Callithrix jacchus: one gene and its partners. The protein of the gene in region 2 interacts with the protein of the main gene of each other region in a pairwise test. Links are inferred from orthologs where the notes say so. Each region holds a gene or a part of one and is shown on either strand. Other genes may lie near its edges. The genes, in order: PTPRD, PPFIA1, TXLNA, DTNB, CCNH, FAM161A and PPP2R5D.

What was found.
Region 1: the proteins of PPFIA1 (region 2) and PTPRD interact in a two-hybrid assay, tested with the Homo sapiens proteins (2 studies listed by BioGRID). The link is inferred for Callithrix jacchus from reciprocal best matches to the Homo sapiens genes PPFIA1 and PTPRD.
Region 3: the proteins of PPFIA1 (region 2) and TXLNA interact in binary tests that used the Homo sapiens proteins (3 or more experiments, as listed by UniProt). The link is inferred for Callithrix jacchus from reciprocal best matches to the Homo sapiens genes PPFIA1 and TXLNA.
Region 4: the proteins of PPFIA1 (region 2) and DTNB interact in binary tests that used the Homo sapiens proteins (3 or more experiments, as listed by UniProt). The link is inferred for Callithrix jacchus from reciprocal best matches to the Homo sapiens genes PPFIA1 and DTNB.
Region 5: the proteins of PPFIA1 (region 2) and CCNH interact in binary tests that used the Homo sapiens proteins (3 or more experiments, as listed by UniProt). The link is inferred for Callithrix jacchus from reciprocal best matches to the Homo sapiens genes PPFIA1 and CCNH.
Region 6: the proteins of PPFIA1 (region 2) and FAM161A interact in binary tests that used the Homo sapiens proteins (3 or more experiments, as listed by UniProt). The link is inferred for Callithrix jacchus from reciprocal best matches to the Homo sapiens genes PPFIA1 and FAM161A.
Region 7: the proteins of PPFIA1 (region 2) and PPP2R5D interact in binary tests that used the Homo sapiens proteins (3 or more experiments, as listed by UniProt). The link is inferred for Callithrix jacchus from reciprocal best matches to the Homo sapiens genes PPFIA1 and PPP2R5D.

What each region holds. Positions count from the first base shown.
Region 1 is NC_133502.1:114,784,546-114,788,045, forward strand, and holds part of PTPRD (receptor-type tyrosine-protein phosphatase delta), read right to left. Parts: intron 1,012-3,500; coding exon 726-1,011; intron 310-725; coding exon 131-309; intron 1-130.
Region 2 is NC_133511.1:127,261,386-127,264,885, forward strand, and holds part of PPFIA1 (liprin-alpha-1), read left to right. Parts: intron 1-1,458; coding exon 1,459-1,560; intron 1,561-1,905; coding exon 1,906-2,070; intron 2,071-2,598; coding exon 2,599-2,673; intron 2,674-3,303; coding exon 3,304-3,405; intron 3,406-3,500. UniProt on the Homo sapiens protein: May regulate the disassembly of focal adhesions. May localize receptor-like tyrosine phosphatases type 2A at specific sites on the plasma membrane, possibly regulating their interaction with the extracellular environment and their association with substrates.
Region 3 is NC_133508.1:68,784,935-68,789,214, reverse strand, and holds the start of TXLNA (alpha-taxilin), read right to left. Parts: upstream 2,801-4,280; 5' UTR 2,734-2,800; intron 2,199-2,733; 5' UTR 2,167-2,198; coding exon 1,998-2,166; intron 926-1,997; coding exon 599-925; intron 1-598. UniProt on the Homo sapiens protein: May be involved in intracellular vesicle traffic and potentially in calcium-dependent exocytosis in neuroendocrine cells.
Region 4 is NC_133515.1:89,527,276-89,531,557, forward strand, and holds the start of DTNB (dystrobrevin beta), read left to right. Parts: upstream 1-1,482; 5' UTR 1,483-1,529; intron 1,530-4,282.
Region 5 is NC_133503.1:123,478,033-123,481,532, forward strand, and holds part of CCNH (cyclin-H), read left to right. Parts: intron 1-716; coding exon 717-787; intron 788-2,906; coding exon 2,907-3,018; intron 3,019-3,500. UniProt on the Homo sapiens protein: Regulates CDK7, the catalytic subunit of the CDK-activating kinase (CAK) enzymatic complex. CAK activates the cyclin-associated kinases CDK1, CDK2, CDK4 and CDK6 by threonine phosphorylation.
Region 6 is NC_133515.1:52,310,044-52,313,244, reverse strand, and holds the end of FAM161A (protein FAM161A), read right to left. Parts: intron 1,937-3,201; coding exon 1,792-1,936; 3' UTR 501-1,791; downstream 1-500. UniProt on the Homo sapiens protein: Involved in ciliogenesis.
Region 7 is NC_133505.1:51,496,147-51,499,562, forward strand, and holds the end of PPP2R5D (serine/threonine-protein phosphatase 2A 56 kDa regulatory subunit delta isoform), read left to right. Parts: coding exon 1-88; intron 89-1,076; coding exon 1,077-1,178; intron 1,179-1,274; coding exon 1,275-1,347; intron 1,348-1,477; coding exon 1,478-1,594; intron 1,595-1,745; coding exon 1,746-1,883; 3' UTR 1,884-2,916; downstream 2,917-3,416. Other genes in the region: MEA1 (male-enhanced antigen 1), read right to left, coding at 3,042-3,193. UniProt on the Homo sapiens protein: The B regulatory subunit might modulate substrate selectivity and catalytic activity, and might also direct the localization of the catalytic enzyme to a particular subcellular compartment.

The DNA of each region.
Region 1 (3,500 bases), on a different chromosome or scaffold from region 2:
TACCAAGGGACTAAATGCTGACCTATGCAGAAAAATAGCTTTGAATGGAGATGAAATTTATTCTAGTTTTAAAACTAGGGCGCATGTAAATATCAAGGCTTTGGATAGTCAGAGGAGCAACAGTAGATACCTGTATCCATCAATAAAACTGGCATTGATGTAATCAGATCCTTCTACTCCACGGATAGGCTGCAGGCATACCCTTGTGGATTCATATGGCATAATATTAACAAGGCGATTTTTGAATTTATTACATGGAAGATTGGCACTGATAAATCTTGAGGTGTGAGCTTTTGAGCTGGCTAGACGCTATTGAATAGAAAAAAGAAACCAACGAAGATCATTTTCACTATTGTTTAAATGTAGTATACCCCAAATTTCCCTTTTAGATATAAATTTTCTGTTTAAAGTAAATGGCGATTCAAATTGTACCTCTTTTCACATCTACCCAATTACTCCCTATAGCCTATTGGATTTTTATATATTTTCTGAAAGTATAATCTCTCAATTTAAATTAGGAGACAGAAGGGCTCAGGGCATTGTTATGAAGCTATGAATAAAAGAGGAAAAGGAGAGGGATGTGTTTTATAATCAGACACCTGAGGGGAAGGTCAAATTAATTTTGTACTTCACGAATTTGAAAGGTTAAGAAAGTGAAGGGACAACTCAAAGACAAACCAAGAATGACTTGCTCCTGAAGAACCACATCCCATCCAATATCTTACCTTAAATTCAAGCTCCATTCCTGTGACATTCTCTCCTGTTTCTATTTGTGTCAGCTTCTGAATGTAGGCATACAAGTTTCTAGCTGGCACTTCGGTATTTCCACAAGTCACTGCTTCTAACAGTGCATCATGGATAAAGATGTATTGGTCTTCTGTTTGAACCATGTAATTCCTCTGGGCTCTCATTAAAGTTACATGGCCATAAATATCTACAGTTTTTTCATGCTTTATTCTTTCTAACATGGCATCTATGACGATGAAACAACCAGTCCGGCCAACTCCCGCACTATGAGGAAAATAAAGAGAAAAGCCAAAATAAATCTATCAGAAAAATCAATACAAAACAAAAGTATTTTTATTATTCTTATTAACTAGACCTTACATCCATTACTTCTACGCAAATAGCTATTGTGATGACTTTGTAATACTTTAAAGCCAAAAATATTATCCAGGCATCATAATCAGAGGGCAGGGAACAACAGACTGGGTGAAATTAGTTTAGTTTTAAAATGTAAAAAATATTAAATCCGTAGTCACTATAGTTATTGATCATGCAATACAAAGTAGACATTATTTTGAAGTCTTTTCAAGTCGTGAAAAAAATACGAACATTTGGTCTGTCTGAATTGAGAAGATACTTTTATATTTTGGTCCAGATCTGAGTAGGCTATGGTTTTTACAAACCCTCTCAATCTATTTTAGTTCTATGTACAAAATATAAAGATTGTTTTTACAGTCTCAAGCTAAACCTCACCTATTTCCTATTTATCATAACCCTTCAGGCTGAGGACACTTATGTGTCATGTATGGTCAATCCAAAATACTTTCGCCTCCTGATCACCTGTGTTTATCAGGCTGGTAATCAACAGCAATAGGTATATATTACCACCTTAGAAAACCAGCAACAGACAGCCTCCTTCATTTGCTACTTGCCATCTTTCCTATCATCTGTGTATCTATGTATTCATTTGTCCATCCATCATTGATCTATCCACTTCTTCATTCAATGAACAATGAAGTACTCTGCTAAGTGAAGTAGGGGATACAGCAATAAAGATGACTTAGATGCTATCTTGAAAGAGCTCAGAGTGTGTCAAAGGAACATAACACTCCGTACACAGCTATTTCTAAGACGAGAAAGAAAAATGATATATTAGTTTTGTGTATGATGTGGCATTTGAAGTAGGACTTGAAGGACAGGAAGGATGAGGAATTAAAGATGCTATAGCATGAAAAAAGATGGATGGCTTTTGTAATCACACTGATGGCTCTGGGAGCTACAAGTGAAACTTTTCATAGATCTGCCAAGGCACCAGTGGCACAGTGCAACGAAGACACCAGAATTGCAAAATGAATGAGTTAATGTTCACCAGTGTGTCTGTCTCAACTGAAATGGCAGTTTCTGTTTGGTGTCAAGTGGCTGCAAGGCAGTAAGAGCGTTTTTTTAAACAAAATAACACCTTTATTTAACTTCTGAACAGTGGGTATCAAAGCTAGCTTCCATTCAGGAGCTCTTTGGTTTGTAGACTGGGCTAACTGGGAATCTCTGATATAACCAGTATTTTAAAATAGCTTACCCTTTTTTATGTCCTATGCCAGAGGGCTCTTGAATACTGATGCTAAGACTCCAAACCCAAGTATAAATGCACACATTGACATGATATTAATACATCATGCAAAAGCCTTCTGAAACATAGTCTTAAGATGACAGCACATACCTTAGCACAGACCAATGATCCATAAAGTCTCATTTTATTTAGTTGGTTCTAAACAAGCCTGTTAGATGGCAAATTTTCCCTGACATTCCCCATTCCCACCTTCCCAGGCGGTTTTAATCACCCTCTGTCTCAGATCTCTTGGTGCCCTCAAATACCCCTCTTCACTATAGTTGAAACCAATTTATTTTATTAATTTAGGGTAGCCATCCATAAACAATAGCAATCATCTTGAGAGCAGGAACTGCACTAAAAAAAAACTGTGTGTGCCCTACACAAAGCATATGGTAAGTGTTCAACAGTGTCTGTGAAATAAGTAAACAAATTAGTGACTGGCTTGAGAGGCCTCCAGTAACGAGCAGTCCATCCCGGTAAGGTAAGCCTACATAGGAAGCAGGACTCTTCAGTCACTTCAAAATCCTACATCTGACAAGGCTTTGGAACTAAGTAAGGAGTATCTGAGGACTGCTCTGGATAGTGTTTGATTGGGAATAAAGAGACAGGGAAAACACTTTATAAGTAGTGTGTTTGCTGGTCTCCCGATATGCCATTGGATTGCAGTTAAACCCAAGTCAGACTTAATCTGGAAAAGATTTGTCTTTCTGGGTTTCTTTCAAACCCTATGTTTGGCAGGTCCCGAGAGTAACATCTTTCATTCTTTCTGTGTTATCTTTCTAAATTGTCTTCACTGCAGCTGTGCAGCGTTTCTAATTGGACACAGCTTTATGCCGTTCTTCCCATTGGAAATCACACTGTAAACCTTATAACTGAGCCCTATATATCACATCAATTCTAGATAATGGCAGGACTATTTTCTCAAAATATGCATCAGGGACCATTCAAATGTCTGGATGATGCATGGTTCTATACTCTGGCAGAAGGATACTACAGGATCTTGAAAAACTGGTAGGAATAACTCCAACTCTAAACAGTGTCAACCTTTTCATAATGGTGATTTTTTTAATCCAAAAAATAAGGGAAAAAAATAAAATATGTGTTTGAGTCCAAATCATGAATTGTGGGATGAAAAGAAGTAACAGAGGCTATGATCGAACAAAAC
Region 2 (3,500 bases):
CAGTCTAGGCTGCGTCTCTGTGAAACCCACACCTCCAGTTGCCTTCACTAGGACCTCCACGATTCCTCGGTTTAAAGAGGGTGCCCTTAGGTTTAAACATCACCAAACTTGGTTGCAAATGAAGTTAGTGCCTTGGGAAGGGGTTAGGAGCGGTCTCTCTTTCTACCTCCTTCTCCCAGGCAAACCCTCAGAACGAGGGCTCTGGAGTTGGGAGTGTGGACAGTGGCAAGCTTCTCCCTGACAGATGCCCCTGGTCTTGTGGTGGCAGCCAGGGCCCTCTCAGCTTGTCATTGCAGGGCCGGAGTGCAACCACCACCTCGCAGAGCCAGGGCACAGCCGATCAGGGCCCCAGCATTCTCAGCGTGCCACACTGTTGAGCCTTCATTTTAGAGTGGAGGCTGAACAGAAGTAGGAAGGCCCTCCCCCAGCCCCTCCCCCTGCCCCCACCCCCCACTGACTTCACTAGCCAGGATGTAGCATCAGCACCAGGTAGCTGGGGTGGGATGGGAAGCACTGAAGTTCTGCCCCTCCTGGGAAGAAAATGTGGTTTGGAGCAGGGGGAGAGGGCCCTACGTTATCAGCTGCAGTTATCTAGAATGAAGTCTGCCTCACTGACCTGGAGGGGAGGCAGGGAGCAGTCTTGGTTCAAATACAACAGACTGGCCATTCTTACTGAATTTTCAACTGTATGCTGACCCACTTGCCCTTAGAATGATCTCCAGAGGCTTTGAATAGTTGTTTTCTTATAATATTCACCTGCTTTCCATGGGAGCAAGCAGGTCAATGGAGCTTCTCAGGCTGTCATGCCAGAACTCTATTACCCAGAGTAGGGATTCTTGCAGAAATATTTAGGAGAGAGGCTGGGCACGGTGGCTGAAGCCTGTGCTCTCCGCTACTTGGGAGGCTGAGGCAGGAGAATCACTTGTGCTCAGGAGGCCAAAGCTGCAGTGAGCTGTGGTCACACCGCTGCACTCTAGCCTGGATGACACAGTGAGACCCTGTCTCAGAAAGATAAAGGGAGAAAAGGAGGCCAGGACAGGGGTGGTGGCCTTCTAGGCCTTCTTTCCTCTCTCTCCTGCAACTCTAGATCACGTGTCTGTGAGTCATTCAAAAACGTCTTCATGCAGTTCATGTCAGGATCCTGTGGAGGAAAATGTTTTGGACTTCTCTGGCTGCTGAGAAGGTGGACTTGGATTCCCTTTCTTCCCCTGCCTTCCTGGTGCCAGGCAAGGCCCAGGGATGGAAGGAAGTCAGATGGTCTGAGTCAGTGTTCTGATTTATTAGGGAATCTGCGTGGTCTTTGGCCAGTCCATTGATCCCCTCTTTCTCTGGAGGATCATACAGATCCCTTCCCCATAACTTGGAATGAGGTTGCCTTCGTGCAAAGATGGTGGAGCCTTGATGGAAGGCTTTCTTTGGAGGGTCTGTCCTATTTAATTTCGTTTTGTAATTTTCTAGGAGTTCGCGGCACTTACTAAAGAACTCAATGTATGCAGGGAACAGCTCCTTGAAAGGGAAGAAGAAATTGCCGAACTGAAAGCAGAAAGGAACAACACCAGGGTGAGTGTGACCTTGCTGTTCACCGCCTGCTCCTGGAGCCACTGCCTGTCAGGAGGAGGGAGCTGTCTCCAAACGGAAGGACGGCCCACTCTGCCCGGCTTCAAACACATTTCTTACCTTTTCCCACTGAGCGCACTGTGATTAGCCACACTGTCACACGTTAATGGCTTGAAATTTGTGATGAGAATTTATGATATTTTAATACATTTGAGGGGAATGTATCTTTCTACTGAATTGAAGGGACCTCATCTTAGCATGAGACTGTAAAGGTGTTATTTGCCCCAGATTCAATTATGAAATGACAAGTGCTCTTTAACAAGTCTTTATTCTGGCCTTTTATTTCAGCTGCTGTTGGAGCATTTGGAATGCCTCGTTTCCAGGCATGAGCGGTCTCTTAGGATGACCGTGGTGAAGAGACAAGCGCAGTCTCCAGCAGGCGTGTCCAGCGAAGTGGAGGTGCTGAAGGCCCTGAAGTCGCTATTTGAACACCACAAAGCTCTGGACGAAAAGGTGCCTCAGCTGCATGAGCCTGGGTTTGTGCACGTGCTGTGGGCTAGGCCAGCTAGGCCAGCTCCGCAAGTGTTCGTGTAACTTACTTTTGAAGCTTCTTGAATTCTTGGAAATAAGTTTCTGTTTAAGAAGACAGGGTTTTATAGGTTTAAAAAGTACTAATTGGCATATATGTCTTAAAATTACTAATGTAAAAAACTTGCTAATGTATATTGATTTGCTGTTACAAATTGGGTAATACTAGATTGTTGCAAAAGTAATTGTGGCCTTTGCTATTACTTTTAATGGTGGGTTTTGCTATTACTTTTAATGGCAAAACCCACAATTACTTTTGCAACAACCTAATAGTATTCAGGGGGAAGATTTTTCTCAAACTTAATTTAGAAGCATTAACAAGTTTTTTGAAAGTAAGATCAGTGGCAGACGTTAACGGTGTTTTATTATATTACAGTAATATATATAGTACACCGAACTGCAAAGTAAGAATAAACAGTGTACACACACACACTGAACCTCTTTTATTTTCAGGTGAGAGAGCGGTTACGAGTAGCACTTGAAAGATGTAGTTTGTTAGAAGAAGAATTAGGTGCCACACACAAAGAGGTGAGCTTCATACATCATCATGATTTGAATTGGGAGGTTTTTGTTTTTATCTTTCAATCATTAAAAGTAGCATAAGGGCTGGGCATGGTGGTTCACACCTTTAATCCTAGCACTTTGGGAGGCCGAGGCGGGCAGATCACCTGAGGTCGAGAATTCGAGACCAGCCTGGCCAACATGGTGAAACCCTGTCTCCACCAAAAATACCAAAATTAGCCAGGAGTGGCGGTACGTGCCTGTAGTCCCAGCTACTCAGGAGGCTGAGACACGAGAATCGCTTGAGCCCTGAAGGCAGAGTCTGCAGTGAGATTTCACCAGTGCACTCTGGCCTGGGCGACAGAGCGAGGCTCTGTCTCAAAAAAAAAGTAAAACAAGTATAAAGACTGTAGTTGTGAATATCAGATGTTATTTATCTGGGTCATTTTAAGGACTAGAAAACTGTGATTACCTAAGGACTCATTTGGCCAGTGGATAAAAATTCCATCTTTAAAGATCAGATTGGATAGCATTGCCACATGCTTTCTTTTTTATACTTTGTTAAGCAGTTTATAGTTGTGTTTTTCCAAAAGGAGTTTTACTATCTTACTTCTCTTATGTAAAGTATTTTATACTCGTTCAATTTTTTGGTTTTAGCTAATGATTCTTAAAGAACAGAATAATCAGAAAAAAACACTAACAGACGGAGTACTGGACGTAAACCATGAACAAGAAAATACACCGAGCACGAACGGAAAGGCAAGTGTGCAGGCTTTCTCTCTCTCCTGCTGGATGTCGTTTGTCCGCAGTATGTGTCGGGTTACGTGGAAAACAGTTGCTAAAGCACTGGCTTA
Region 3 (4,280 bases), on a different chromosome or scaffold from region 2:
TGTTTGGCTCCTACCATTTTAGCTGCTAACTATGAAAAAATCTAGAGATCTAGATTTCTGGCTTTTCTTAAAAAAAAAAAAAAAAAAAAAAAAAAAGGCTGGCTGCTGCCTAGTTAAGAGCAACTAACTAAATAGCAATAAAGCCTTTGGCTAAAGTAGGCTCTATCTTCATGGAGCCCCATAGGCAGCCCAGCTTATGTAGACATTTGGGTTTCCAACTCTGGGCTAGTCTGATTTTCTTACTGTAAACAGAAGTAGAAACTAGGACCCAGAGAGGAGAAGGGGCACACCCAAGGTCACAAGGCAGGTAGTACTGGCTGGCACAGGAGGCTACCCGGACCTCCTGCTCTCCATTGTCTCAAAGAGCAGGTCACACATCAACCTCCCGTTGCTCCAAAAGCCAGAAGACCTTGTGCTGGAAACCCCTGCATCTTTCTATGTGTGACTCCCACATCCCTGGCTTTGATTAGACTAGGGTGACTTGCTGCTCTGAGAAGTACCATTTCCTCTGAATCCTGGCAGAACAGACTTGCCCAGAGAACATCAAGTCCAAATTCCCTCCCCTCACCAGCTGCACAAAGAGCCACTCTCTGCTCACCCAAACCCTTGGCTTTTTTCTTCTCCTGTGGCCTTCGGTGGTCTCGGTCTCCCACATCATCACTCGGCCGGATCTCTTCTGTGCCTGGCTCCCCCTTGGAGGGTACCTTTTCTCCATTGACTACTGGAGATGGCTCAGGCTCCCCATTCCTTGCCACATAGGTCCGGGACTTCTCTGCATCTTCCGGCTCACCCTGTGCCCCATCCTCGCCTGGGCCCCCCTGGTTATTGTCCACACAGTATGTGCTCAGTATGTCTTCCAATTGGCGGCTCAGCTCCTCAGAGACATCACGGAGGGCCCCAGATTGAGCTGTTTTGGCTTGTGCCCCTAAAGCAGGAAAGAATGAGAAAGAAGACAGCAAATCTAGTTCCTGTCAGAATTTAGATTCAAAACTTTTTTTTTTTTTTTCCAGATGGAGTCTCACTCTGTCACCCAGGCTGGAGTGCAATGATGCAATCTCAGTTCACTGCAACCTCTGCCTCCCAGGTTCAAGCGATTCTCCTGACTCAGTCTCCCGAGTAGCTGAGATTATAGGCATGCACTACCACACCTAGCTAATTGTTGTATTTTTAGTAGAGACAGGGTTTCTCCAACATGGAGGTCAGGCTGGTCTCAAACTCCTGACCTCAGGTGATTCACCTGCCTTGGCCTCCCAAAGTGCTGGGATTACAGGCGTGAGCCACCATGTCCAGCCTCGAAACATCTTTTAAAAGAAATTATAGTCATCGTTGCTTAACTTTTTTTTTTTTTAAGATGAGGTTTCACCGTATAGGTCATGCTGGTCTTGAGCTCCTGACCTCAGGTGAACTGCCCGTCTCAGCCTCCCAAAGTGTTAGGATTACAGGTGTGAGCCACTGTGCCCGGCAACTTTTTTTTTTTTCTTGCCAGACTCAGGTAATGGATGCTCAACCTCTTTAAGTCTATTTACTTGTAAAATGACACAACTATTTCTTACTATCACCCGAACATGTTGGTTACAAACATAAAAGTATGTAAAGCATCAGCACACAGGGCTGGCATGAAGCAACTTCTAGTCCATCTCCTTCCCCCCTCACCAACCACTTCTTGCCATTCAGATTGTTCTAGAAATGCCTCAATCCAGGAAGGGCAGTTAGCTGTTGGTGGCTGAGGTGTTTCTAACAGGACCTGGATTTCCTGACTGGGTGCCTCGTTTGGCTGCCACCTGACTTAATCCTGTCAGAGCTTCTCTCCAGAGAAGAGAACTCTGTTCCTGTGCTCACCAACTCGCCAGGGCGCCGGAAGGACCGCGGCCCCAGCACTGCCCTCTCATTCTACATCTCCTCCTCTGCACAACCTGGCCTCGGCCTCTAAATCCAGAAGTGAGGCCAGGCGCACAGCTCCTCCCCCTGCCCGCTGGCAATGCAGAGCTGGCACACACCCTCCGGCTTCCGAGGAGCCTGCCCGCTGCCGGGACCTTCAGCTTCTGCCGCAGGAGCCGCCTGGCTGGGCCGCTCCTGGGTTCCCTCGGGTACCGCTTCCGGTTGTCCCGGGCTGCTTTTTGGGTTGGATTGTTTGGCAGCCCCGTTCTTTTTGTCTTGGTTCTTCATTGTGATGAGCGATGCTGGGTCAGAAGGAGATCCTTTAGAAACAAACACAGTTGCAATTTTTCAGACTTCGAAATTCTTCGCAGTCTGGATCAGAAATCCCCACAGCAGGCGCCCAAAGCTTCTTAAACGGACCGGCCGGCCCCGGCGGAGGGCGCCAACGGCTCTCCGGTCTTGGCGGGTCAGGGGAGCCCGGTGTGCCGTAGCAGGCTTTCGCAGCGCAACGGAAGAGGAAAGAGGCCTCTTTTTCTTCTCGGAGCCACTTCCCAGCACAACCAACCCCCTCACGGCAGGCCGAGAGCGGGATTGGCTCGGGGCCGGAGACTGACGTGGCGGGGCGCAGGAGTCGCGGCGCCGCCCCCGCCCCTCAGGACCCACGTGCGCCCCCCGCGCGCGCAGCCACCCACGCCCCGCGCGCCCTCCAGCCGCGAGGCACGCCCGCGCATGCGCACACGCCCTAGACAGCCCCCCGGCCCACGCGCGGAGTCGCCGTGATTTCCCCACAGGCCGAGAACATCCCGGCCCGTACACCCTCCGATTGTCTCTCCCACCGGTCGCCGCGGCACGCACCTCACAACCGACGTCCGACGGCTTCTCCAGCTCTGGCCTCCACCGGAAACCCCGAGTAACCACTGCCGGCGAGCAGCCTGCACCCGCCGCAGCCAATCAATAGCCGGCGCCGGCGCGGAGCTTGCTGGGAAGGACGAAGCGAGGGCGGCCTTGGAGGCGGGCGGGACCTGAGGGCGGGGCAGCGAAAGGACTACGCGTCCCTCTGTGCGCTGGGGCTGGCAGCAGCTCCCAAAGTGCAGACGGGGCAGTAGTTCTGGGAGTCCAAAAAGAGCCCGTCATTCCGCGCAAATGCCCAGGTCAACCTTGTTTCTATCTCGCAGAAGTTATGCCTCAGCTCCTAAAGCCTTGCGCCTAGCATTGTTTCCTGCAGGCCTCCGTCAAGCCTTCTTCCCTGGCCTTGAACAAATGTGACTCCATCCAGGAATTCCGACGAATCGGGAAGAGGGATAGAGTCCTGGGATGAGGCCCAGGAGACCCCTACTCCAGTCCCAGCTTCATCATGGATTTGCTGTGGCTCCCTGGGCCTTAATGTCCTTCTTCCCAAGGAGGTGTTTAATAACAATAATTTCCTTGAGCGCTTACTGTGTGCTTTCCGGTATCTAATAGCTTCATTCTCATAAGCACTCATTGAAGTAAGTACTGTTAGCGCCATTTTACGGAAAAGGACAGTAAAGAGAAAGGCTGGGTAACTTCTCCAAGGTTACATCGATAGTGAGTGGTTAAAACGGATTCAGAATTGTTAACTCTGACACCAGCACCCAGGTAACTTCTCGGCTTCCCTTTTTCTTTTTTTTTGAGACGGAGTTTCACTCTTGTTACCCAGGCTGGAGTGCAATGGCGCGATCTCGGTTCACCGCAACCTCCGCCTTCTAGGTTCAAGCAATTCTCCTGCCTCAGCCTCCCGAGTAGCTGGGACAACAGGCGCGCCCCACCATGCCCAGCTAATTTTTGTATTTTTAGTAGAGACGGGGTTTCACCATGTTGACCAGGATGGTCTCGATCTCTTGACCTCGTGATCCACCCGCCTTGACCTCCCAAAGTGCTGGGTTTATAGGCGTGAGCCACCACTCCCGGCCTACCTTGTCTTTTACCCAGAAGAAACACCACCACAGCAGGTTTTCCAGAGGCAGTCAAGGTAACTTGTGAACATAGGTCATATTTTCCCCTCTCCTTTACCATTTGGCAGTCAATTCCTCAGGAAGGTGCTGAGTTAAGGCTTCAGGCATATTCTAGAGCCTTTTCTCTGACTGCCCCACTGTCTACTAAAGTCTCACTGGGTTTAAAGTAGAAAAAAAACACAATTCTCTACACGTGAGATCAGAAATTCTGTATCCCCGTTGCCTCTGGATAATGAAATCAAACCCAACAATCTTTGTGCCTGGAATTTGAAGCATAAGAGGTTTGGCTTTTGTCAAACTTAAAATCTTTTGAGGCCCAGTTCAAAGGTCACTGCAGAGCCTTCCCAGTGCTCTGCAATCTGTACTTGCTCCCTAGGTCTGCAGAGTTCTGTTACAGCATTAGCAGTGAGGTGTTGAAATTAATATTTG
Region 4 (4,282 bases), on a different chromosome or scaffold from region 2:
CTCATCTTCACTAAAAATGCAAAAATTAGCTGGGCATGGTGGTGCATGCCTGTAATCCCAGCTGCTTGGGAGGCTGAAGCAGGAGAATCACTTGAACCTGGGAGGCGGAGGTTGCAGCGAGCCAAGACTATGCCTCTGCACTCCAGCTCGGGCAACAGAGCAAGACTCATCTCAAAAATAAATAAATACATAAAAATAAAAAATAAAGCAGCTGAGCCTCCCTTCCCTCACCCACGACCATGCAGGGGCACCCTGGACGTATTTCAGACCTTGCACGCCGAGCCGGCGGAATGGTCTCTACTTCTATCCCAGCTAGTTTCCAGCGCCCTTTGCACTCTTTGTACAGCCAGAAACCCTTCAAATGATTAACTTTAACAAATGGGAGAAGCTCAGTGCTCCTCGACCCTGGCTACGCATTATATCACTTGGGGTCACTTAAAAAAATTCAGCCCAGGTGCAGTGGCTCATGCCTGGTCCTAGTGCTTTGGGAGGCTGAGGCCAGAGGATCTCCTGAGCCTAAGAGTTTGAGGCTGCAATGAGCAAGACTCTGTCTCTTAAAAAAAATTAGTTCCGCCAGGCGTGATGGCTCACGCCTAGAATCTCAGCGCTTTGGGAGACTGAGGCAGGTGGATCACGAGGTCAAGAGATCGAGACCATCCTGGTCTCGATCCAGGGTTTCACATGGTAAAACCCTGTCTCTACTAAAAATACAAAAATGAGCCGGGCATGGTGGCATTAGCCTGTAGTTCCAGCTACTCAGGAGGCTGAGGCAGGAGAATTTCTTGAACCCAGGAGGCGGAGGTTGCTGGGAGCTGAGATCGCGCCATTGCACTCCAGCCTGGGTAACAGGCTGGAAAAAAAAGATTAGTTCATCTAGATGAATTTTGGGTGCAGGTATATTTTCTCAAAAGCATACCAGGTGACAGGTATGTGAGAACAGCTTGAATTACCCTTGAGCCAGTTTAGAATGTTTTGTCAACATAGAATTTGTTGACATTTTCAGGTGTTTGACAACACTACATAAATAAACAAGCCTTTGATAAACTAACAAAACCTGTAGGACACTCTTCCTCGGACACTCTAGCCTCTGGATTGCCTTCTTGGGGTAATTCTTGGGATCTTTTGGGGTGCCATCAAGCCTCCTGCCTCGTGAGCTTTGCATGGTATGGCAGAATGATAGCTAATCACCCCTGTAATCCCAGCACCTGGAAAATATGACAGAAGTCTCGCTAGCTATCCAAGCCAGTCCAAATTTCAGCTTGACACCTAAGGACAGTTTTATTGAAGAATACAACTGCTGTTCCCGAGATAAATCTTAGAAAGCTTTGTCTTGAAAGGTTTTTCATGCAATTTGTCACAGGCTCTCATAATCCACAGGATGATACAGAGAGTAAAGATCAACACCACCATTAGCGCTGCCTCTCTTCCCCGCCCTCCGAATCCCACTCAGAGGTGTTCGAGCTGGTTTTCTGTGCCAGCTTCATTCCACATTTGGCCAAGACCGAGGACTCAGGCTTCAGCCTCTGGGGGTAAGGATTTCCACATTGTTATTTGCCATGCAAAATAGCAGTTCCTATTCATTTCTTCCAAATCTGCCTCTGTCAACACAGATGGCGCGCTACCCCGTACTGCTGGGACTGTGAGATTCGGCAACATTGTCTGTGTCCTGACTGTGCGGACCTTTGGCAGCCAAGCTATCACCATCCCCTGAAGGATGGATTTTGGTTTTTGTTTGCCTCCTGTGAAGGACCTTCTTTCTGCTAATCATTTGAATTACTCTCTCCTGGACCCCTTCCAGTCCTATCACGCCATCTGTAAATGGCAGAGAACAGAACGAGACACACATTATGGTGTCAATGTATAATAATTTGATACAAAGATGCGATTATGATGTTTTGTTTTGAGTATTGCTATCTGCACGTTCTTGGTTTTTTTGGTGGGATGGGGGTGGAGGTGGGAGAAGGAAGCTAGAAGCCAGAGCAGGCTGGACAGTGGATTTTATTTACAACTTTAAGGAATGGTTTTCAGGTTCATTAAATTGTTTTCCTTCAGCTGTTATTACCTTCCTCCTGCTCACACTGACACTCGGAGGGCAGGTGTCTGCCCTCCCACGCAGCTCGCTCACATCCTTCTGTAGCCTCCTCCCTGCCACTCTCAGCTCACTCACTACCTGGCACATGACCTTGGCGATTCCACCACGCATCTCTTCCCCAGATCATTTATCACTATGGTAATTAAGACTTGGATGTTCAGACTGTGGAATGAAAATAGAACAGGTTCTAGCACAGATTTTAAAAAATATTTTTCTTCCTGCCTCCAAAAAAGTACATGTTCATTTAAGACAGTTTGAAAATACAAACAAATGCAAAGAAAATTAAAATAATTCTTAATCCTATTACCCAGAGATAACTTCTTCAAATATTTTGGTTTATATTCATCCAGTCTTATTCAAGGAACACAGTAAACACACACTTTTTCCCTTTATCTTTGATAAATATTATATTTGATATATTCAAAGAATATATGTAACATTACACTCCCCCCACAAGAATCAAAACATTATAAACAATGGCAGTAATTGTCATTTACCTAAGTGCACCCCTTAGTCTCCCACTTCCTCTCATGGGGTGGGAGTATCATTCCCTTGCCTTATTTTTTTTCCCCTTGCCTTATTAAAGTAATTTTAGAAATTGTTTGTGTTTATTTGATTTTCAGCTTTGTAAAAATGGTAACATGCTATGAGTCATATGTTTCCTGCTTTTTTCACGAAGAAAAATGTTGGTTCAATTTATCCATGCTGTGTTATGCAAATGTTCTTTTATTTTTGCTGCTGTTTAATATTTCCACTGTGGAGATATACACATTTATACATTCATTTTTCTCTTGCTGGCCATTTGGATTGTTTTCATAAGTCTCAAGAACAGGCTGGGAGTGGTGGCTCATGCCTGTAATCCCAGCACTTTGGGAGGCTAAGGCAGGCAGATTGCCTGAGCTCATGAGTTCGAGACCAGCCTGGGCAACATGGTGAAACCCTGTCTCTATGACATACAAAAATTAGTTGGGCGTGCTCATGCACGCTTGTGATCCCAGCTACCCTGGATGCTGAGGCATGAGAATTGCTTGAACCTGGGAGGCAGAGGTTGCAGTGAGCCAAGATTATGCCACTTCACTCCAGCCTGGGTGACAGAGCGAGACTCTGCCTCCAAAAAAAAAAAGTACTAAGGACAGTGCAGTGATTGCACATTCCCCTTGGTGCATGCATGAAGAGTATCTTTGGGGTTGAATAGCTGGATATAAGGTAGGTAGAATTTCAACCTGTTAAATATTGGCAAAATGGTTGTACCAATTTATACTCTCACCATTACTGTATAGGAGTTTCCAATTGATTAGCCTTTTTTCCAACATTTGGAATTGTGAAACTTTAAAACTTGCCATGCTAGTAGGTGTACAACGTTGTAGTATTAATTTGCATTTTCCTGAATGCGAATGAAATGGAGGATCTTTTTCTATGTTTATTGACCATGTGTTTTCTCTTCCATAGAATGCTTGCTCCTTTTTCTATTGTGTTGTCTCCCACATTTTTTTTACTTTGAGTCAGAGTCTTGCTCTGTTGCCCAGGCTGGAGTGCCATGATGGATCTCAGCTCACCGCAACCTCCGCCTTTGGGTTTCAAGCAATTCTCCTACCTCAGCCTCCCAAGTAGCTGGGACTACAGGCATGCACCACCACGCCCAGCTAATTCTTAGCTTTTTTTTTGTATTTTTAGTAGAAACAGGGTTTTACCATGTTGGCCAGGCTGCTGTGGAACTCCTGACCTCAGGTGATTCAACTGACTCAGCCTCCCAAATTGCTGGGATTACAGGCATGAGCCACGATGCCTGGTCTCTCAAACATATTTTAAACAAAATTTGAGCCATACTACATATACCATTTTATATCATCTAAAACGTTCTTTTACAGTGTTATTTTAGTGATTTGGGACTCTTCTATCTCATAATTTAATCAGAGCTCTGTAAGTATTTTTTTAAATTTTGGTTTTGAGAAATAACTCTGGTAAGATATTCTATTGCATACATTTAATTACACATAACTGAATGTTTTAATAAAATAAGTTCTAAGAATTGAGATTTCTGAGCCTGGGAAACATGGTGAAACCCTGTCTCTACAAAAAAATACAAAAATTAGCTGGGCATAGAGGCATGTACCTGTAGTCTCAGCTGCTCGGGAGGCTCAGGTGGGAAGATTACCTGAGCCTGGGGAGGTCCAGGTTGCAGTGAGATAT
Region 5 (3,500 bases), on a different chromosome or scaffold from region 2:
AAAACTAACACTTTGAGAATCTGTTCATTTGGACTTTTATCAATTATCGGTCAAGTTCAGGTATGTAAAACCTTAGAGTAATTAAAAATTTAAATATAGAAATTATGTTTTTATACTGTCAGTGGCCCTGAGAAAAACAAGTAATTGAGTTTTATATCACATTGATGGAGAAGTTTAACACCTTTGATTTGGACTTGATGCAAATAAGTATTAGGTGATAGTCTTGTTGGTTTGAATGTCTGTTACTCCAAAGAAGTACAACTATAGGTAAAATGGCTTTCATATTAAGGGGACAGAAAATACCAGTGCCAAATTCCAGTTTTGCTGCTTCCTAAGTTTATTTCTTTGGGCAGGTTACAAGATCATGACTTGCTCATCCCTGTAACTGAGATTCCTCTTCTGTAAAATAAGGTTAGACTCATAGGATTTTTATATTAAAAGGTATAAATTTATAAGTATTGGCTATTACTGCTGCTTTCATACTATTTCCTTCTGAAGGTTTATGCCTGAATATCACTAAATTTAAATGAATATAAACATCTTTTAATGTAATTGGTAATAAATCCTTAAAACATAAGAGTTATGGATTATATTTTTATACATTTAAACATTTTAAAGTTACCATTGATGAGATGGAGGAAAATAATTGATGATGCCATGCTTTTGCAATGTGCTGTATGTTTTCAGTAGATTAAATTTTTTCTTTCCTTTACCAGTTATTTATCAGAGAGTCTGATGCTGAGAGAGAACAGAACTTGCCTGTCACAGTTACTAGATATAATGAAAAGTAAGTAAAACAGAACACTCTACATATGTTCTTCCATTACAAAGTTCCTTTCTAAATAAATATCTTGGTGTTTAACTAGAAATATAACTTAGATTTTTGTTTAGATTTATTTTCATTGAGTGACTATATTATGGAAGCACTGATCTAGAACAAATAGAAGGTACATGGAAGTAGTGTTCATGTATATAGAACTTATGCAGAGTGAAACTATAATTGGATTTAGAAAGGGTTTAGAGATTGACAACAGGATCCTTTTAAAGAATAAAGAAACATACTAGTCACTAAAAAAGATGTAATGGGAACTAACTTAAGGATAATGTTTAAATTTGGAACTTCTATTTTGTGGATAAATCATTTTTTTAAAGAGAAGGAGATTTGACACACTTAGAATAGGCGCTGCTAAGACAACAGAGAAAGATTTAAAGATGCTCACCTTGAAAATTAGAGTGATGTGGCTGTAAGCCAAATGAAGCTGGCAGCCACCGGAAGCTGGAACAGGCAAGGAATGGATTCATCCCTGGAGCCACCAGAGAGTATGGCCCTTCTAGCACCTTAATTTTGACCAATTGAAACAGATTTCAGACTTCTGGGCTCTAGAACTATGAGACAATACATTTCTGTTGTTTTAAGCCAACAAGTTTGTGATAATTTTAATAGCAACTTCGGGAAACTAATGTAGCCCTGCATAACCAAGAATTATCCCACCCAAAAAGTCATTAGTGCTAGTGTTGAGAAATTCTGTCCTAAGGGTTGAGTAGAATCTCATCTTATTGACTGAATTAGCCAGCATTCTCTATTCTTCATTCTTGCCCATGGCACACTTGTTGATGGCTGCTAAGCTACTCTTTGGGGTTAAAGCTCAATCATGTTTGTTCCCAAACCTTGTTGTCTAAATTGTTCTTAATTAGATTTGTAATTTAATTAAATATTAAACCAGTGTAAGATTGAAGATCTTGATCTTGGATGACAGCAAATGGGTATACATTTTATATATTTTGTGTTTTAAAAGTTAAGATGCTTGAGGACATCTGTATCATTTCTTGATTCTCTGCTTGAAGTGATCTTGAGAACTTTCTTTGAGAGTGATGGGCTCATGGTTTATGAATTAAACTGTAGCTCTTTAGTTATACCACTAGGGGGTTCACTTTCAAAGCTAATTGTGAGTTGACTATAGATAATAGGAGCATAGAATTTAGTAGGTAAAGGGAGTCTTATTCCACTTTATTTATTTCATAGCTTAGTTTTATTACTGATTTCTTCTCAATACCTTTATTTTGCTCCACTTATTTTAAATGAAATAAAAATAGCTCTTCATAAAATATTTATAGATTTAACGTACTAAGATATTTGTAATGTTTGGAACAGATAGTGTCTTATGGGCGTTGAGTCACAAGTATTCAGTTGAAAATACTGCTTTGTTTGCATTATGAAATAGGTCAGTATAGTCATTTGGATCACAAGGCTGGCAAATAATAATAATAAGCCAATTGGCGCTCTCCTCATTCCCCTAATAGGTTTTGAAATTTGTGTTCTTTGGTTTATTATAGTTGAATAAAAAGATCAGCTAGAGGATGCTTTTGCAGTTATAAAGTTACTGATATAGTAGTTTGCTTTTAACCTAAAATGGACATTTTTTTCTATAGGGTCTGTTTTTTGTTAAAGCAAAGGATTATTAACAAATTTTTACTAAGCATCCTCCCTTTATTGCATGTTGTGTAATAACAGTTTCCTTTGTAAATGGGAAATATACTCTTAGTCCACTATCTGTGGAATAGAATATTATGAAGATGGTTGGTGATAGAGAACAAAGCATGTTCACTAAATCATTTAGGGATTTTTTTAAGTCTTAAGCTGAACAAGTGACCCCAGTAGGATTTGCAAAAAATTAATACTAGATTACACAGTGTGCTTTATGCTGTACATGGTATGGGCTAAACAGCAGAGAGCCATAATTACTTGAATTAAACATATGGTGCCTATAGGATTTTAAAGTAGAATGATGCAAATCTTGAGAAGAATAACCATGTCATTTGAAGAGTGTTTCGTTGAAAAGTAACAAGCTCCCTTACTATGGAAAGGTTTGCTTATTCAGTTTAAATTATTTTTTGTATCCACATAGGCATGAGAAACTTAGTAAAAAAGTATGAACCACCCAGATCTGAAGAAGTTGCTGTTCTGAAACAGAAGTTGGAGCGATGTCATTCTGCTGAGCTTGCACTTAATGTAATCTCGTAAGTTGATGTTGATCTCGACAGTGTTGATCAGTAGACATAACTTTTATCCAGTCCAGCTGGTTTGTAAATCATTTTATTGGTGTTTGCTCATTTAAGGAAAGCTGACTGATCCATTGTATCAGATTTTCTTTGTTGAATGGACATTTCTAATAGATTAAACTTAAGACCTTAATAGTTCAGCATTCACTGTGCAGTTCTGATCCTGCTGTGACTTGTGTTCTTTGGCTTGCATGCCCTGTCCTGTTCTGTTACTTGTCATGGACTCTCAGGGGTCAGGGTCTTCTTAAGGAATCCTTTAACCTTTTCCTGTCATTTTAATCTTTGGTCTCTGCAGTTGTGATATTTGGTCTGAAGAACAAATGTCCTTTCCAGACTTCTGTTAGCTAAAGTAGGGAAACTTGGCATACATACTTTCTTTCAGTGCCAAACTTTATATTGAAGATAAAGCCAATAGGAAAATAGGCTGTTTAATCTCTTCT
Region 6 (3,201 bases), on a different chromosome or scaffold from region 2:
CTCTCTTTTTTTAACTTTGGCTCTGTGTTTACCAGATTATATCTAACAAAGTGCTTCAAAAGTGATTTCTAACAAAGTAATATTTAAATCACAGTGTATCTCATTTAAGTAAAAGTATTTTAAGTCAATAGCTTCCTCAGGAATGTTCTGTCTTCTGACACCATCATTTGAATATCACAGTTTGCAAAGAGCTTTTCCATTCATGATTTCATCCAGTCCTTCCTACAGTTACCCAAGATAGGTACAATTCCCATATTTTTTAAGGTAAGAAAACGAGATTGATCTTGAAGCCAAGTGTTTCATGACCAAAGCCCACACTCTCCCCATGAAATTGAGAAGGGACAGGCTGAGGAGTGAATCTTTGAAAGCAAGTAATGTTTTAAGTACTATTATAATTTGTAGATTGTGTTTCACTGGCTCCCAATGAGCTAGGAGGAAAATGTTTTTAATCCCATGTGTACTCATGCTGAAATAGCTACAAGTATATAAAAACCATATTCATCTGCACAGTCATTCAAACCTTTATTAAGTACCTACCATATGTATAATCCTGTGCCAAATATTAAGGGAATACAAAGATGAATTTGTAAATGGTGCCAATTCCCAAGGAGTTTACAATTTAATAAAAGTGAAAAGTAATTTTCACTTTTAACATGAACTGTAGGAAGGAAATTACAAGTAAACATTTGCCCCTAATGAAGAAAAATAACCTTATTTTTCAATTTAAAACACAAATTGCCAGTTGGGGAACACTGCTATTACATACACCTATATGAGTTCATCCTTTTACAATGATGCTGATTGTTTTTAGAAGAGAAGACGTCTTATGCTGTAACAGCTTTATAATTGGCTTCAAATTTTAAAACAAAAATTTGCTTAAAGAAAAAATTATTTCATAAAATCAGATTAACATTGTACCCAGAGAGACAAAGTGTGTTTGCAACAATATGTAAAAAGTTGAACACAACTGGGTCTAGCAGTAAAGAGTTAAATCTGAATTACTTTGGATACTTGCCTTAGCCAAGTTCCTATGCACAATTTCATCATATATAAAACAGGAATACTTGCCCCTAATTTAGATTATAACTCACACATGCCATAAATACTTCCATCTGTAATAATACAAAGGTTTAAAAAAGCTAGTATAAAAACTTTCCTAATAATTTACGTATCAAAAATAATTTTGACTAGAACTAAGGATTAAAAGAAAAAGGGATGATGGTGTAGACAATTTAACAGTGAACTTTCAGTGCAAAAATAAAATTTGTAAGTATTTTTTTTCTATACTTTTAAAAATGGCTCAGAGTAGCAAAATAAATTCAAGGATTTATTCTGTGAAATGTATTTCAGAGAAAAAGAATGGGCAAATAGTATAATTAAAAATACTCATTGATTCACACTTTCCAGAAATTTTTAAAAAGTAAATCACCAAAGACCAATATTTCTCTCTGCTTTCAATACTAAGCCATTTTTTCTATTAAAATTAATGAAACAACGTATATTTTTATAACAGTTTGACAGCTGTGATTCTCAAACACTTTTAAAAAATACAAAATCATAGTTGTAAACAGATTGTATATAATGATTTTTAAAACTGAATAGGCAAAGCCTTACTCTAACTGATCAAATGACCAATAAACTGGATTCAGGCTTTTCAGGGTACAGATGACTTTGCTCAACTGCCCTGCACAAATCAGAGGTGTCCCCACAGATGTTCTAAACACAAATGCAGCTGCTCACACCCTGACACTGCGAACAGCAGCAAGGGCATAGAGAGGAGACCTTGATGATTCAGTGTGATTCTTCAACAGATTTCTCTTCTCCACTCTCTTCATCAGCTTCACCTTTTTCCTTATAAGAATCCTGGCTGTTGGTATCAATAAAATAATTTTCTTCCCCATTTTCTCTCTCTTCTATTTTTTCTTCTTCATTAAAGCTAGGGGAAGAAATTTATCAGTCTTTCGAAGGAAAAATGAGTTGGTTTAAATGTAAAAAAAAACCCCTCTGCAAGTGTGCCACCGTGTAGCCAGTCTTCCTCAAGTGTATGAGTTCCAATTTGTTATCAAGAAAACTCAAAAAAAAAAACAGAAAATGCTATAAAAGTGCCATCTGAGACTGCGCATGTTGGCTCATGCCTGTAATCCCTGCACTTTGGGAGGCTGAGGCCTGGCAAGCATTTGGCAGAGACCAGTCTGTCTCTACTAAAAATACAAAAATTAGCCAGGCCTGGTGGCAGGCACCTATAATCCCAGCTACTCGGGAGGCTGAAAGAGGAGAATCACCTGAACCCAGGAGGTGGCGGTGCAGTGAGCCGAGATTTCGCCACTGCACTCTCCAGCCTGGGCAACGAAGAGCAAAACTCTGTCTCAAAAAAAAAAAAGTCAGCAATTGAGAAATTTAATATTCTTGAAAACTAATTTATCTATTTATTTATTTGTTTATTTATTATTATTTTTTGAGATGGAGTTTTGCTATTGTTGCCAAGGCTGGAGTGCAATGGTGCGATCTCAGCTCACTGCAATCTCTGCCTCCCAGGTTCAAGTGATTCTTCTGCCTCGGCCTCCCAAGTAGCTGGGATTACAGGCATGCCCCACTACACCTGGCTAATTTTTGTATTTTTTAGTAGAGGCAGGGTTTCTCCATGTTGGTTAGGCTGATCTAGAACTCCCAACCTCAGGTGATCCACCCATCTCAGCCTCCCAAAGTGCTAGAATTACAGGTGGGTGCTACTGCGCCCAGGTGAAAACAAATTTACTTCAAAATTTGAGTGACTGATTCTTTAAACATCATTTGAAAGCATGCTATTATTTTTGTTACTTATGTCAGTAAGAAATCTAAGTTATTCTGTTTTAAAAAAAAATACTTCACAGCCAGGAGTGGTGGCTCACACCTGTAATCCCAGCACTGCGAGAGGCTGAGGTGGGTGGATCATGAGGTCAGGAGTTCAAGACCAGACTGGCCAACATGGTGAAACCCAATCTCTAAAAAATAAATAAAAAAAAATAATAATACTTCACCACAAGAATGTGAATGTGTTACACATGTCAAAATATCAATATGTTTTAAAAGAGTTCACAGGTCTTTTACTACTGGGTAAAATATTTTTTAAAACAATATAGAACAAAAATATATACATAGTACAAAATTGTATGCTTTCCTGCAGGTAACAATTTTTTCAAAGGTAAACCATTAAGACATCTT
Region 7 (3,416 bases), on a different chromosome or scaffold from region 2:
TCATGAGCCTGATAAGTGACAATGCAGCCCGAGTCCTCCCCATCATGTTCCCTGCACTTTACAGGAACTCCAAGAGCCACTGGAACAAGTAAGGCACTGGGGGGCGGGGCTGGGTGGTGGGGATCCAGTTAGGAAAACTTTGAGGATATGGAAGAACTAAGGGCCAGGGGTCTCACCTGGTCACCCAGCAAGTGGGGCTGGTGTCCCCTGCATGTTGATAGGACCTTGAGGGGCTAACTGGAGCCAAAAGATGCCTCTGTGATATCAAATAGCAGGGCAGCAACCTGTGTTACACCACTCCTTGGGGTCAGCTATTCTGCAGGTCCTGTCACAGCTTTAGAGACGTAATTCTGTGCTGCAAAAAGCTGATGTGACCCTCTTTGAGAGTATGTGTAAAGAATCCCAGGGTTTTGGGCCAGGCACAGTGGCTCATGCCTGTAATCCCAGTACTTTGGGAGGCTGAGGCAGGTGGATCACTTGAACTTAGTAGTTCGAGACCAGGCTGGCAACGTGGGGGAACCCCATCTCTACTAAAAACACAAAAATTAGCTGGTGTGGTGGCATGCGCCTATAGTCCCAGCTACTCGGGAGGCTGAGGCAGGAAAATAGCTTGAAACCAGGAGGTGGAGGTTGCAGTGAGCCAATTTTGTGCCACTGCACTCTAGCCTGGGCAACAGAGTGAGACTCCATCTTTAAAAAAATAAAAAAGAAAGAAAAAAGAATCCCAGGGTTTTGAAAGGACTTTTCTGCTAAAAGCAAGCACAGTGTGGTATAGATGCAGTCTGTCATGCTGCTGGGAGGCCATTAGTGTGGGTGAGAGAGTGGGAAAGGGTAGGAAGTAGGCAGGCCTTGGAGAATGGGGTGAGGGAAGCATGGACAGATGGACCATGAAATGCCAGTCTCAAACCACATGATTTGGCCGAAGCTATCTTCTGATCCTGCATAGAGGTTTGTGAACTGGAAGTAGTAAATGAGAAAGCTCTTAGTAGACATACCCCTGTGAGAGAACAAATTGGGTTCCTTGTGCTAAGGGCAGACTCTGGTCTCCTACACCTCATCTTTCTTCCTGGTGGCAGGACAATCCATGGACTGATCTATAATGCCCTGAAGCTGTTTATGGAAATGAATCAGAAGCTATTTGATGACTGCACACAACAATACAAGGCAGAGAAGCAGAAGTGAGTACCTCTCTCCCTGGGAGACTTTCATCTTCTACCACTAGCTCACTTTGTTTCTCTCAAGCCCAACCCCAATCCTACTTTTTTGATCCTCAGGGGCCGGTTTCGAATGAAGGAAAGGGAAGAGATGTGGCAAAAAATCGAGGAGCTGGCCCGGCTTAATCCCCAGGTGAGGATTTCCTGCCAGTGTTGTGAAGTGACAGGCCAGCCCATCTTGAGCTGGGGGAGGAATATGAGGCACACAGACCCCCAAGTCTCTGAAGTGGCTCTCACCGCTGTCCATGTCTCCTCTCACTCAGTATCCCATGTTTCGAGCTCCTCCACCACTGCCCCCTGTGTACTCCATGGAGACAGAGACCCCTACGGCTGAGGACATCCAGCTTCTGAAGAGGACTGTGGAGACTGAGGCTGTGCAGGTGAGAGGACAATGTAGGAGAATGGAGCAGAAATAATAGCTCTGGAAGGGAGAGGAGACACAGACAGCAGAGCCAAAGAATAAGGGGAGGAAACAATAGAATTCACTGGGAATTGGTCACTGTTCCTTCCCTTGTCCCTATTCACACACAGATGCTAAAAGACATCAAGAAGGAGAAGGTGCTGCTGCGGAGGAAGTCGGAGCTGCCCCAGGACGTGTACACCATCAAGGCACTGGAGGCGCACAAGCGGGCGGAAGAGTTCCTAACTGCCAGCCAGGAGGCTCTCTGACCCCCTCACCTTCTTACCACAGGGCCACAGCCCACTCAGCCCTGGAACACTGCCCCGGCCCTCCACACTCTGCTCCCTACTGGCTGACTTGGGGGAAGGCAGCGTCTCTCTAGCTACTCTAGGGAGGGGGATGTGGGCACTTGAAGCAGGGACACCCACAGAGTGGTCCCTCTTCTCCCCAAAAGGTGTTCATGCCTCCTTGTGGCTCATACAAGCTGAGCACTAAGATATTCAGTGCTCAGACAACCTGGGGATGCCTGTCCCCTACCTGCTCCTCACCCACAGCTACCTGAGGCTGCTCTGAGAAGTATACACAGGAATACATATGCTCCTCTATTCTTCCCTTCATCCTCATTTGAACACCAGGTGTCTCCCCTCTCTCTCCACTGCAGAGGCAAGTAGGGAACAGCAGGAGATTACTCTCACCAAAGTTAGGCAAACCCCATTCTCCCCTGGAGTAGCTGGAGGGAAGCCAACCCCCTGCAGCACAAATAGGCACCCCTAGCCCCAGCCATGTACTGGCAGATAGGGTTGTATTATTTCCTCTTACCCCATGCCTGACCAAGGGAGGTCAAAAGGAGAAAAGTATAGGCTATGGACAGTAACTGAGGAATATAGGGCCCAGATAGACTGGGTGGGGCCAGGGAGGGATGAACAAACACCTTACCCCATGCCCTGTCTTTGGTGAGCAGCAGCCCTGGGATCAGACATGGAAGGGACCACCCTCGGGCTGACTGCTTTCCCAAAACTAGAAGGAAGCAGGGAGCAATGCCCCAAGCATGGCTCCTGGCAACACCTATTTATTTCCTTGTTTGTGCTAGGCTGGGCATGCCCTCTCTTGTCCCTTGTAGGTACCCTGGAGGGGCAAGGGACTGAGGAGGGCTGGACCCAGGTTCCAGGTGCACAGGCAGTGCGGCTTTTGGCTGTGTATATAGGGTGCTTTATTCTCCACAGAGTGATACATGCTAAGGTGGGTTGGGCTTGGGCTGATGTCCCCATATGTACAGAACCGAATAAAGTGGGTCTCTGAGAAGCCTTATGTGCCTTGATGTGGAAAGGGAGATGGGGAAGATGGAAATGGACATTACAACCAGGGATGTGTTCAGTCCTGTGCTGGTTCTGGCCTGGAATGTAGGAAGGTAAGGCAGCTCTCTGTGGTCACTTCCAGGCAGGGGATGCCTGCCGGGCTTGGAGGGCTTTCTGTACCACATCTTCCCACTGGGCATCTGATATCTCCCGAGCCCAGGCAGGAACCCCTGGCGCAGGCAGGCTTACTCCAGCCATCGTCCTTTTCACCAGCTCTACATGTTCTGAAATCAGAGCCAAAGGCCAGTCAGGGACAGAAATAATGGGACCAGCTCTCCTCCCCAATCCCTGAATCAACCCAGCGCCCTTGGGTGGGTCACCAAATCCATCTTATTTTCTAGGCCAGCCTGCCCATCCCCAAAGCTAGCAGATGAGCATTTCACTTGGACTCTGAAGTCCACAAAATCTTAGTTTACAAACTATCTTTTTAGGAATAGGGTCTTCATC